3 linked regions of the Neurospora crassa OR74A genome follow. The protein of the gene in region 1 interacts with the protein of each later gene in a biochemical or structural test. Links are inferred from orthologs where the notes say so. Each region holds a gene or a part of one and is shown on either strand. Other genes may lie near its edges.

Region 1 (3,755 bases):
CATGATTGCTGGCTTTGAAAGGCGGCCTTCCGGTTACCATTTCGTACAATACCGTGCCCACAGACCACAAATCGGCCTTCGCATCGTACTTCTCATATCGCAAAATTTCTGGGGCCATGTAAAGAGGAGAGCCGCACAGTGTCTCGGCGAGGGATGTCGACGGCAGCACACGGGCGAAACCAAAATCGGCAAGCTTCAGCATCGGGGCCGAGGCTAGGCCGGCAGCAGGCGTAAAGGAGTCATAGCTGCCACTCATGATGTGTTTTGCCGTCTTGTTGTTCGCCATCATATGAGGAGAGGGAAGCAGAAGAAGATTCTGGGGCTTGACGTCTCGATGAACGAAATCCCCAGCGCGCAAAAACTGTAATGCGCTCGCCAACTGTTTCAGAAAGTGGCGAGTCACTACCTCATTCAAGCCGGCGTTCGGATAGACGGGGTACTTTCGCGCAAGGTCGTGCGTATAGGGGTTTGTTATGAGCTTGTCTCGCTTCTTGATGAACAGCGACAAGTCACCGAGTTCGCAATACTCCATGATCAGATTGATATGGGTAGAGGATTCAACGCAGTCATGGAGCGCGACAATATGAGGGTGTCGGAGGGTCTTGAGAATTTGGATCTCCCCGTACAGGTTTTCCTTCAGCTTCTTATTTAGGCGGGCGAGCTCAACGGATTTGACAGCAACCAATGCGCCAGTGACCTGTAGGCACGATATGTCAACAAGCAGCCCAGATCACGGTACGGATGTGAGGTCAAGGCCGAATGGGATGCTGAAAGATCGATCAGGGTGAGGCTGCAGAGTACACTAACCTTATGTCGACCTAGATAAACCTTTGCAAAGCTTCCTTTTCCTATCTCTTGGTCAATGACAAAGGATCCAATGGCATCGTAGTTCTGCTTCGTCCTCCTCGAAGACGAGGAAGCAGACGTTCGGTCCGACATGGCTTCCTGGTGTATGTGTTGATGACGGGAAGTCAGTGTAAAGGTAGGTAGCCCAAGGGACTAAACTATTCGGAAGACGTCAACCTCAAGTCTGGCAGGCATGTATACGCCAAATAGTATGGTGCTATCGATCCGGGGTTGAGGTGGTGAGGATGATGAAGAGGAGCTCTAGGCAGAAGCAGAGAAGTTTGTATGAATAAGGCCGATTGCGTTCGGTTATGCAATGATGCAGGTGGAGATGATAGGTCGAGGATGTGTCGAAGCCAAAGATGAAACGGCAAATGCGTGGTCGAGGGAAGAGGTTCGAGTACGAAGTACCTTGATGGTTCTTCGAATCTGTCATGCGCCAGGCTTGGATGGGGATGGCAGATGGACAGCCAGGCGACGATGAGACTGGGTGGAGCCAAGAGAGAGTATACGGTGGTATGGGATGGAAGAGGAGGTGCGAAGGGGGGTCGAGCTCAGTACAATCGTTTCAAAGTCTGGAGGAGTCGGAGAGGACGGGATGCCTAGGTGAGCCCGAACGGGTGGCTGATGGAACCGTCGATGCGAAAAAGAGCGGAAGAACGGCAGAACGAACAGGCAGTCGAGCAGCTGAGGTTGATGGAGGAAACGACGGACGGATGAAGGCTCAGGACACAGTAGAATAGGGTCCAAGCTCCGACACCGACACTGTTGTACCTGGACGTCTGCTATCAGTACGGAAGCGTGGTTGTTGACAGCTGCTCTTCCTCCACCGCGGCAGACTGACGTCCTACGTCAAGTCAATGACTCAGACCCGATCGGCCGCAGGCTGGCCTCGTCCGTATCAATCGGTTCGACAACAGCGAGGGTTGCGGCTGGGTTATATCTAGTTGTGCGATTGATCTGTATAGGATGGCGGATTTGTACTAGGTAGCGTCTATGAGAAACGGGTCGAGAGAGCAATAGGATGACGCGATGGTCGGCGGACCGGCATACGGCAGTTCATGCGGAAGCGGCGAAAGTTGGTATGGTGTCGGGTGTATGGATGTGGTATATGGCGATAGATGTCAAAGACGCGATGGATCCCGCCGATGGCGATCGGAACCTGAGGGTGCGAGACCGGAGACAGCGGAGAGGGAGACCGAAGCTGTGACCTTGACTCGGAGGATGGAGAGATGAACGGGCGATATGGGATGGGGGGAGAGAGACGCAAAGGTAGTTCGGTAGAGCCGGCCGAGGGAGGCAATTCTGAAGGGCCCAAGGGCGGTGCTGGTAGGAGATGTTGCGGATGATGAGTGGATGGGGACCTGACGCAACGGGGGGGAATGGGTGTGGTCCTGTCGTGGGAGTGTCTGGGTGGTCGGTTGGCCGTGGTCGACGGTCGCGGTGATGGGTGATGCGGATCGAGGGACGCCGCAGGAAGGAGTGGGTGGACTGCTGGATGGACAGCGATAAGTGATAGCGCACCAGTACCTCTAAGTGAGGTACCGTATCGGGTACCCAGGCGGTACCGACGTAACAGACACAAGACTGGGGGCGGGCGAGCTGTACAATCGTCAACCTAGGTAGGTACCCAGGGTATTTGTGCCCGGAGCGGAGCACGGGAAAGAGCCGTTGCCCGCAGTTCTTTGGTTTATTAGGTTGGTAGACTATAAACTTTGATATGCGTGATTCCCAAAGGGGGGAAGACAAAGACGTTATCTTCAGTCTCTTCTTGAGAGGAAGTTGAGATTAATGGCAGTGAGTGAATGACGAGAGGAGACGGCAAAAGAGGGACGGGAACCTCGATGGGCAGGGCAGCATCAGCCAGATCCAGGTGGCAGCAGAGGGGGGCAGCGTCCCAAGCGACTTGCGAGTGACTACACCTGGAGCTCGTGATGATGTGCAAGGGGACTGGTCCGTGCAGGTGCATTGGAGTCATGATGCCTCGACATGGTCTGCACCAGTCAATGTAGCTCGTGGGTACCCTGCGGTAGCATTCGAGGCCGTCTGCCCAGCTCTTCCGCCTTTCCAGAAGGGGTCAGGTGGGCCCGGGGTACGCAGACGGTACGAGGGCCCTGTTACGCTGCGAGTGGAGTTGCACGTTGCCGGCCCGCCATTGGCCCCAACTCCCGACGCTACCTAAAACGGCCTGTCCTTCTGTGGTGATAAGGCACTTGCAGCTTGATAACATCACCGCTTGGAGTGACACTGGACCTCGCTGCGAACCTGGAAGCCTTGAGGCGGGTTTGCTTCTCCACGGATAGGCAGCCTGGAAATCTTGAAAATGATTGGAACCTGTTGTCCGAACACGTTGGAAGGAAGCAGTCGTAATTAGGTTATAAAGCTGGGTGGGTTCTTCGTTGTCGGTTATGGGATCTCTTAACGGTCAGTCTCCATGTCGAAACGCGTCATGTTGTTGTTCCTGTCATTTACCGCTTGTCTTGCGTCTTTGCGGGCACCGAACCGAGCACGAGGCAAAATCACGTAGCGTACTGGCACAAAGTCGCAATTGATGGACATGTTCAGTCCCGAGCATCAACCCGTCGCTAATATCGACCTGTCTCCATTTCAAACTGAATACGTACAAGGTAATAGCCCGGCTGCCCGGTAGTAGTGTTCCCAAAGAGTCATCAGCAAGGACCCTCGATTCAAGACTTCGGTTGCTTCTAGACGAGACGGGGCTTGGAATTACTCATTTACTCATTGTTCCAAACAATGACAATATCACCAAAGTCTAATCATCTTTGACGACACAGGCACTCCAAAAGCAATCAACCACACATCCATCCATGGCCACTGTGCGCGTTGTATACACTACTAAGAGTAATAATGACTAGCCAACCGGAACCCAGAATCTCAGGCAGCAGTCC
Region 2 (3,755 bases), on another chromosome or scaffold:
CAGCTATTCGTATCCTCGTGGGCGCCGACATGGTGCAGTGGGTGTTTTTAAACACTTTGGTGGTCGGGTACCTGGGCCGACACGAGTGGACTCGCAACGTGGGCTGTCGGAACACGCCGCGCTGAGATGGACAGTGTAAGTATGTATACTATGGGGTGTGTATAGGGCTGGGATCGATGCAAGATAAGGCCGGGTTGAATGCAATTTGCAAGAGTGTGAAAACGCCAAGTGGTTGACTTGTCTCTCTGACGAAGAGTGCCGCACAGCGGGTGGAATGATGTCAGTGACGGATTGGCTCGGATGGTTGACCACAGAGCTGATAAGAGGGTCGGTAATCGGGTGGATCGGCTTCCACTTGCTCACCGGATCTCCCCACGGACAGGGATTCCAATAGTGATGTTTTGTGGGGTTGGATCTTGATCATCAACACTCTATCCATGGACATTGTGTAGGTCAGGAGGCTTTGAGAGCAACCTAGTTGCATACAATGAAACGACATATGCTTCATCGTAATTTTGGTTGTGGTCAAATATCCAGAACCTTGAGGTCTCATTTCGTTCGTACACTTGTTTCACATGAGCCTTATCTTATCGGCATACATATGTAAATGTGCTGGATGATGGAACCTAACTGAAGCTAGAAGCTTCCTAAGATCAGGAGTCCGTTGGACCCGTGAATCAATGTTGCTCCCAAATCCAAAAAAAAGGGAATCATTCATTCATTCATTGATCCATTCATTCATTCATTCATTGATACATTCATTCATTCAATGGAAGCCCATGTGGACACCGCTCAGGTGGCCCAGCCTCCAAGTCCACGATAATAAAGGTAGCCATGGGAACAACGGCCAAAGCACTTTCGAGGTATACCAAAACAAAAAAGTTCCGTAGCCGTACTTTGTTGTCGTCTCTTGGACAGAGAATAACCTGGAATCTCAACCACATTTCATCATCATTGTTTTTTTTTGTCTTTTTTTCTTTTGGGACTTGTTTAGCTGTGAAATGCACATCATCGGGACGACTCCAAGATTGTTAGTGCAATACCGTACATACCGCAACTGAAGTGGGAAAGGGTCAGGAGGCGGCTGCTGCGTCACGTGCATCGTCACCGCTTGAGTCCCCTGTTTTGGATGGATCAGTGTCCCGCCTCTTGGCCGGCGGTCGCCAATCACCCCCCCGCCCGGAGAGTGTGCGGGTGGTGTGGGTGGGCTGCCACTGCCACTCGCTGCCAGCAGTCAGCCAGGACAGCCGAGGGCGCTCTCCCATTCCATCAACTGCCCGTGTTAAGTTGCTCTGCGTGTTGCCCGTTCCAGGTTCTATGCTGCGTGCTGTTGCTGCCTTTCCATCCGCCCACCTACACTAGACTTCTACAATCCTCCACATCATCAATCAACCAACAGACCGACCTCCCACCCCCAACGACCTACACCTAATCTCATTCAGCGAAACCATCCATCTTTCGCTCCACCACCGTCCACCTTACGATACCCGCCTTATTTCTTCGCTGTCCAACTCAACCCAACACCACCACATCGCATAGCGCGTCCCTCGTTGCCCATCATGAACCCTGAGTAGTAGGTTTAATCACGTCTCCTGTTGCCCTTCTCCTGCTCTTCCCAAATCACCGTAAGCCGCCGCCACGCTGCCGCCACCTACAATCATCGCCGCCGCCCGTATCCCATGTTGTTTCCATGACGGATTGCTAACATGTTTAACCTTCAGGGTGCCCACCGCTTCCCCTCTTCACCCGACGTCGTCCCCTTCCCTTTCGCGACTCGACCGATCACCGCCGCCACCACCCCCAAAGAACCCTGCTGACGATGCAACCAGATACGACTACCTCTTCAAGCTCCTCCTCATCGGTGACTCCGGTGTCGGAAAGTCTTGCTTGCTCCTTCGTTTTGCCGACGATACCTACACCGAGTCCTATATCTCCACCATCGGTGTCGACTTTGTACGTCCTGCTATCCTGCCTGCGCAACACATGCGTTCGACCCCCATCAACATGCTGACCGTTTGGCTAGAAAATTCGCACTATCGAGCTTGATGGCAAGACCGTGAAGCTCCAGATCGTAAGCAACCCCCCGGCACTCCTGGACACTTTGGAAATCCAAATTCGCTGACCCAGTCGCTTATTCAGTGGGATACCGCTGGCCAAGAACGTTTCCGTACCATCACCTCTTCCTACTACCGTGGCGCCCACGGCATCTGCGTTGTCTACGATGTCACGGATATGGACTCTTTCAACAACGTGAAGCAATGGCTTCAGGAGATTGACCGTTACGCCACCGAGGGCGTCAACAAGCTCCTCGTCGGCAACAAGAGCGATATGACCGACAAGAAGGTTGTTGAGTACACAGTCGCCAAGGTACACAGCCACCCCTAACCCTCGTGTCTAAGCCACATACTTACACATCAACCAACAGGAGTTCGCCGACAGCCTGGGCATTCCCTTCCTCGAGACCTCCGCCAAGAACGCTAGCAACGTCGAGCAGGCTTTCCTTACCATGGCCCGCCAGATCAAGGAGCGCATGGGCAGCTCCATCGCCACCAACAACACGAAAGCCAGCGTCAACGTCTCCCCCGGCCACGGCGTCTCCAACAACTCTTCCGGCGGCTGCTGCTAAAGCGTCTGTGCCTTGCGGCATTGGTTGCGCTCTTGGCGTTACGGTTTCGCATCGGACGGTGTTTGACGACATGATGATGCGATTGAATGTTACGGCGTGGGCACTGGGTTGAGCTGTGATGCAAATGCTGCTCTAATGGGATCTCAGTTGGGAATGTTTCGGCTCTGCTTCTGTGGTTTTGCGAGGAACATGGGAGGAGACTTGGGGCGGCTTTACATGCTACCTTGGGAATTCATCACACGGTTCCGCGGGCTCTTCTTCGCTTGCCGGGACAGGTTAGGGTGGGGCCTAAGAGGATGGTGATCGAACGCACCGGAAAAGGGAGCTTAATAGTTGGCTCATCACCAGTGTCCGTCACGATTCCTGGCAAAGGGCAAGGGGGGAAAGAGTGGCTGGCTGAGACATGGGATGGGCGGCGGGCTTCTTAGAGAGCTTCCACGACCCTTGATGATGTTGGGGGTGTGTGTGTTGCGTGTGTGTATTTTCGGTCTTGGGCATAACTGAGGACGCGGCACGGTTTTTTTTTTTTTTTTAAACACATTTGTTACTTTTGGTTTTTTTTTTAAGGAGCTAGACTACAGTTTTTGCTATTTTTGTGTTTTGAGGCAAACCCACTGATCTTTCCATGCTACAGCTCTCTCACACATAGAGGAAACCTTTCGCTTCAGAGAGATGACCGGCACATTTACACCAAGAAGAACCACACGTACAGGCACACCCATGCATAAAAAACAAATGCTCACCAGACTTCAAGCCCTTAGCCAGCTCTAGACGTCCTCGATAGTTACTCGCGCTTGATGAAGTCTCTCAAAGTGACGGACTTGGTTATGCTAGTAGAGTTTGATAGTCTAACTGGATCTGTAAACATTGAGATTTTGGACATCCTGCCGGCTGATCCAAAGGCCACGATCAGACTGCTGTGGATAACCCACTCTCCAGGGTCTTGACAGCAGTATATTTATGAGAAGTCCAATCGACGGTCGGTAAATGCCCCTTGTCCCATATCACGGATAGTATAGCCAGCCATATCAGAGTTGAGGATTTGTTGTGTTGAAGCACCCCAATTCAATCAGTAATCGCAGGTATCAACCGCTTCAAGGATTGAAGAGACACTCGGTTTTAAAAGCTT
Region 3 (3,145 bases), about 1.2 Mb from region 1:
ACGCCGTATATGTAGCAGTTCTCACTTGTGACATATTCTCTACCTTGACTATAGATGTTCTCGACATGTCAGTCACCTACAAAGACCCCCAATGATGATCCCATGAATTCTAATATGATCTTTGCCGTAAGCCGAATCCCCATTCATTTGAAGCAAAGGCGCGACATCAGGTAGGAGCGCCTCTGCCACCCCGCACATTTACAGTCTCAGTTTCCTATGATGTTGTTCGAACCCCAGCTTGCATCCAACGTCTGTAGTGCACATGAGTAGACGCCGACGGAGCCGATATAAGATCGGCATGGAGGAAGATCCGTACGCAATGCCGCCATCATCGATCAGCTCAATTGATGCTGCTGCGTAGTCTTGTAGTTTGAATCTCAACGTTTCCATTCATATCTTCAAAAGAGTCTTTTTGGCTGGGCTAGCTTGAGAGGGATAACAACCCCTAGAATATACCATAGTGTACATTAGTTACGACTCGCACAGTTTACGCCACTACGGCGTGGCGGACAAGGTCGTCATCACTGCAACCGAATGTCGTGACTGGGGAACCCGACCGCTTCGCTTGTGTCGGCCCATCACATAATCTTTGAGGGCGGATGTCGTATGAAACTAACGGGTATGCAAGAAACGGAGCGAAGATCTCTCAGATAAGTGCGCAGCCTCGGGTTCGACACATAACAAATCTATAACAGGACTACCTACATCTGGTAGTCGAAGTATGTATTTCACAGCTTTAGCGCCAAACAGTGGTCAATCTTTCACAGTTTCGGGTATGTACCACACAACAATGAATATGAGAAAGGGTATATTGCAGGTTGAATTAGAAGTTTAGCATTCTCAGAGCCCACGAAGCCGTCAAGGTAAGTGGCTTTCACATATCCAAAGCGGCTACTGTAAGGCCCTCTGTCGTCAGTAGCCAAACTGCAACCTGCGCGGAAACCAAAAGCTGAATTAGAAGAGACCCCCACCAGTGCCTCGAAGACAACGAGGGGTCAGTCGCTCTTTGTATTTGGGTAGGGGGAACGTTGCGGTCGATGGCATATATCAGTGCGGCTGACTAAAAGCGAAGACAGTCGCGCGTGGTTGGTTGGTATTGATGAACGATCTTTACATAACCAGGCAGCACGAGTTCTGCTTCTTCGCACTCTGGTAGAACATCTTGCTCTGCGCACTCAGGTCGGAACTCTTGGCAACCAGGTCGTCGAGCTTCTCGCCTCGTTGCAAAACCTAAAACTAGGTTAGCATGTTATATAGAGCATTGCTACCCTCTGTGAATGGACATACGCTATCAATTGCCTTGTGTAGGACGATCTTGGTCTCGTCGAGCTCTTGCTGGATCTTTGCAATGCTGCTCGCGTTGTTGGCATCTTGGTAGTCGCGAAGGTACTGCTCGATGGCCGGGAAAGGGATGTCGCCGTCGTTCTTGGCGGCGTTTATCGTGGCAACCGGCTTCTCCGAGAGAAACTGGTCCATGAGCTTGGAAAGGACACTGTGGGCGGCGATAGGAGGGTAGTCCTTGGTGATGACGACACCGCAAACACCCTCGGAGCGGGCATAGGCGTGGATAATATAATCTGTTCGGACACCACCTAGTCAGCTAGGCACATGTATGCGAGCAGAGAGTTCACCATAGACGCACCTTGCTCCTCAACACTTTGCCTCTGGCCAGGCTTCGTCCTCTCTGCGACAGTCCTGCTGATCATGGTCATGAAGTTCTTGTATTGGTCTCGTGTGAACCTGGAGAAGTCGCTAAGCTCGTGGGCACCGCAGAGCTGCACCGCAGGCTGCTCGGTGTTTTTGTAGATCTTGTTCGCGGTCAGCAGGTACCTTCTTGTACCCCCTATGAAAGCAGCCGTATCTTACACCAATGTAGTAGAGCTTCATGGTAGCGGTATTTGAAACGTCCCCGAGGTTTTGTTGTGGTCGTGTTTCAGAGCTTTGGCGCAAATCAGGCGAGTATCGCTGTTGATGGTTCCTGACTGTACACGATGATGTTGATGTCTCGCGTTGGGATAGAGAGAGCCGATGTGATGGCGTGGGGAGCAATGAGGTCTGGAATTGCCGAATCGTAGGGTTCGTCGTTAGATTAGGTTAATGGATTGTAAGTTGCGATGGTTTGGTCAAGGAAGCGCGTCGCTGTGTCGGTCGTGGTTCGGGCTCGACGATTGTCGATGGATTAGGGGGAGGGGTTTGATAGACGACGCGCGATCGATGGCGGCAATGGCGATGCGATGAGGTATCGATGGAATCAAGCTGTTGTTCGAGGCTGAATGGCGATGTGTCGAAGCCAACCACAGCCGTCCGCTTCTTGTTGGGCCAGGCCATCGAGACCCATGCCCTCTGGGCTGGAACAGCACCGTCAGGCGGGCGTCGGCCAAACACCGCCCCGCTAGCACATGTTAGTGCCAATGCTACTATAGGAAGACCTTGTCCTAACACGGGCTCTTGTTGCATCTCCGTGTCCTTTCATTTGCTTTTTGTTCAACCATGATTGACATGTGCAATGACGACTAAGACGACTACTCAGATCCCTACAATCGCACTTGTCAAGAACATCTTCCTGGAACATTGAACAAAAGTTTCCAAGGGGACGGACTGATGATGTGGAAGGTGATTAGAAAGCACAAACAGAACAAGCGGAACGCCGGCCCATGCTTCTAACGAGGTTTCCTGAAGCGAAAAAAGGGTCTTTGGTGTACAGTGTTCACCCGCGAAGCGAATATGTTTGACATGCACTCTGCTCCGAGTCTGGAAGGGATCGCGGACCTCTCAACGAGTATTACCCCTATGAGGCACATAGTATATGATTCCACGACTACCCAGTATAAAATACTATGGAGCAAAACTCCTTCGAGTCAGACGGATGGGATCGATGCCTTGAATGACCTTTTCGAGAACAAAGTCATCGATCCTCTCCACCAGGTCCGGATATTACACCGCGCGGATTTCCACCTCGTGTCGGATCTCGAAGCCTTTCGGGTACATATCATTCATGGTCGCACAAATGTAACTACACACATATGACCATCGAACCGCCTTGCCCACGCGTCTGTACATCACCAATAATGTAAAGCTGGACATGAACTTCTGGCCGAGAGATCGTCAGACTGGTGAAGCTAGAAGTCTTCCTACCAAAAGTTGA

What was found.
Region 2: the proteins of apg-1 (region 1) and ypt-1 form a complex in vitro, tested with the Saccharomyces cerevisiae proteins (2 studies listed by BioGRID). The link is inferred for Neurospora crassa OR74A from reciprocal best matches to the Saccharomyces cerevisiae genes ATG1 and YPT1.
Region 3: of the proteins of apg-1 (region 1) and NCU08973, one has a biochemical effect on the other in vitro, tested with the Saccharomyces cerevisiae proteins (2 studies listed by BioGRID). The link is inferred for Neurospora crassa OR74A from reciprocal best matches to the Saccharomyces cerevisiae genes ATG1 and YKT6.

What each region holds. Positions count from the first base shown.
Region 1 is NC_026503.1:2,936,706-2,940,460, forward strand, and holds the start of apg-1 (ATG1 protein), read right to left. Parts: upstream 2,491-3,755; 5' UTR 940-2,490; coding exon 808-939; intron 698-807; coding exon 1-697. UniProt on the Saccharomyces cerevisiae protein: Serine/threonine protein kinase involved in the cytoplasm to vacuole transport (Cvt) and found to be essential in autophagy, where it is required for the formation of autophagosomes.
Region 2 is NC_026502.1:3,521,671-3,525,425, reverse strand, and holds ypt-1 (small GTP-binding protein), read left to right. Parts: upstream 1-1,286; 5' UTR 1,287-1,559; coding exon 1,560-1,570; intron 1,571-1,829; coding exon 1,830-1,953; intron 1,954-2,023; coding exon 2,024-2,071; intron 2,072-2,139; coding exon 2,140-2,367; intron 2,368-2,425; coding exon 2,426-2,626; 3' UTR 2,627-3,507; downstream 3,508-3,755. Other genes in the region: NCU08476 (hypothetical protein), read right to left, coding at 1-31. UniProt on the Saccharomyces cerevisiae protein: The small GTPases Rab are key regulators of intracellular membrane trafficking, from the formation of transport vesicles to their fusion with membranes.
Region 3 is NC_026503.1:4,097,355-4,100,499, forward strand, and holds NCU08973 (SNARE protein Ykt6), read right to left. Parts: upstream 2,330-3,145; 5' UTR 1,888-2,329; coding exon 1,867-1,887; intron 1,809-1,866; coding exon 1,643-1,808; intron 1,578-1,642; coding exon 1,288-1,577; intron 1,231-1,287; coding exon 1,111-1,230; 3' UTR 656-1,110; downstream 1-655.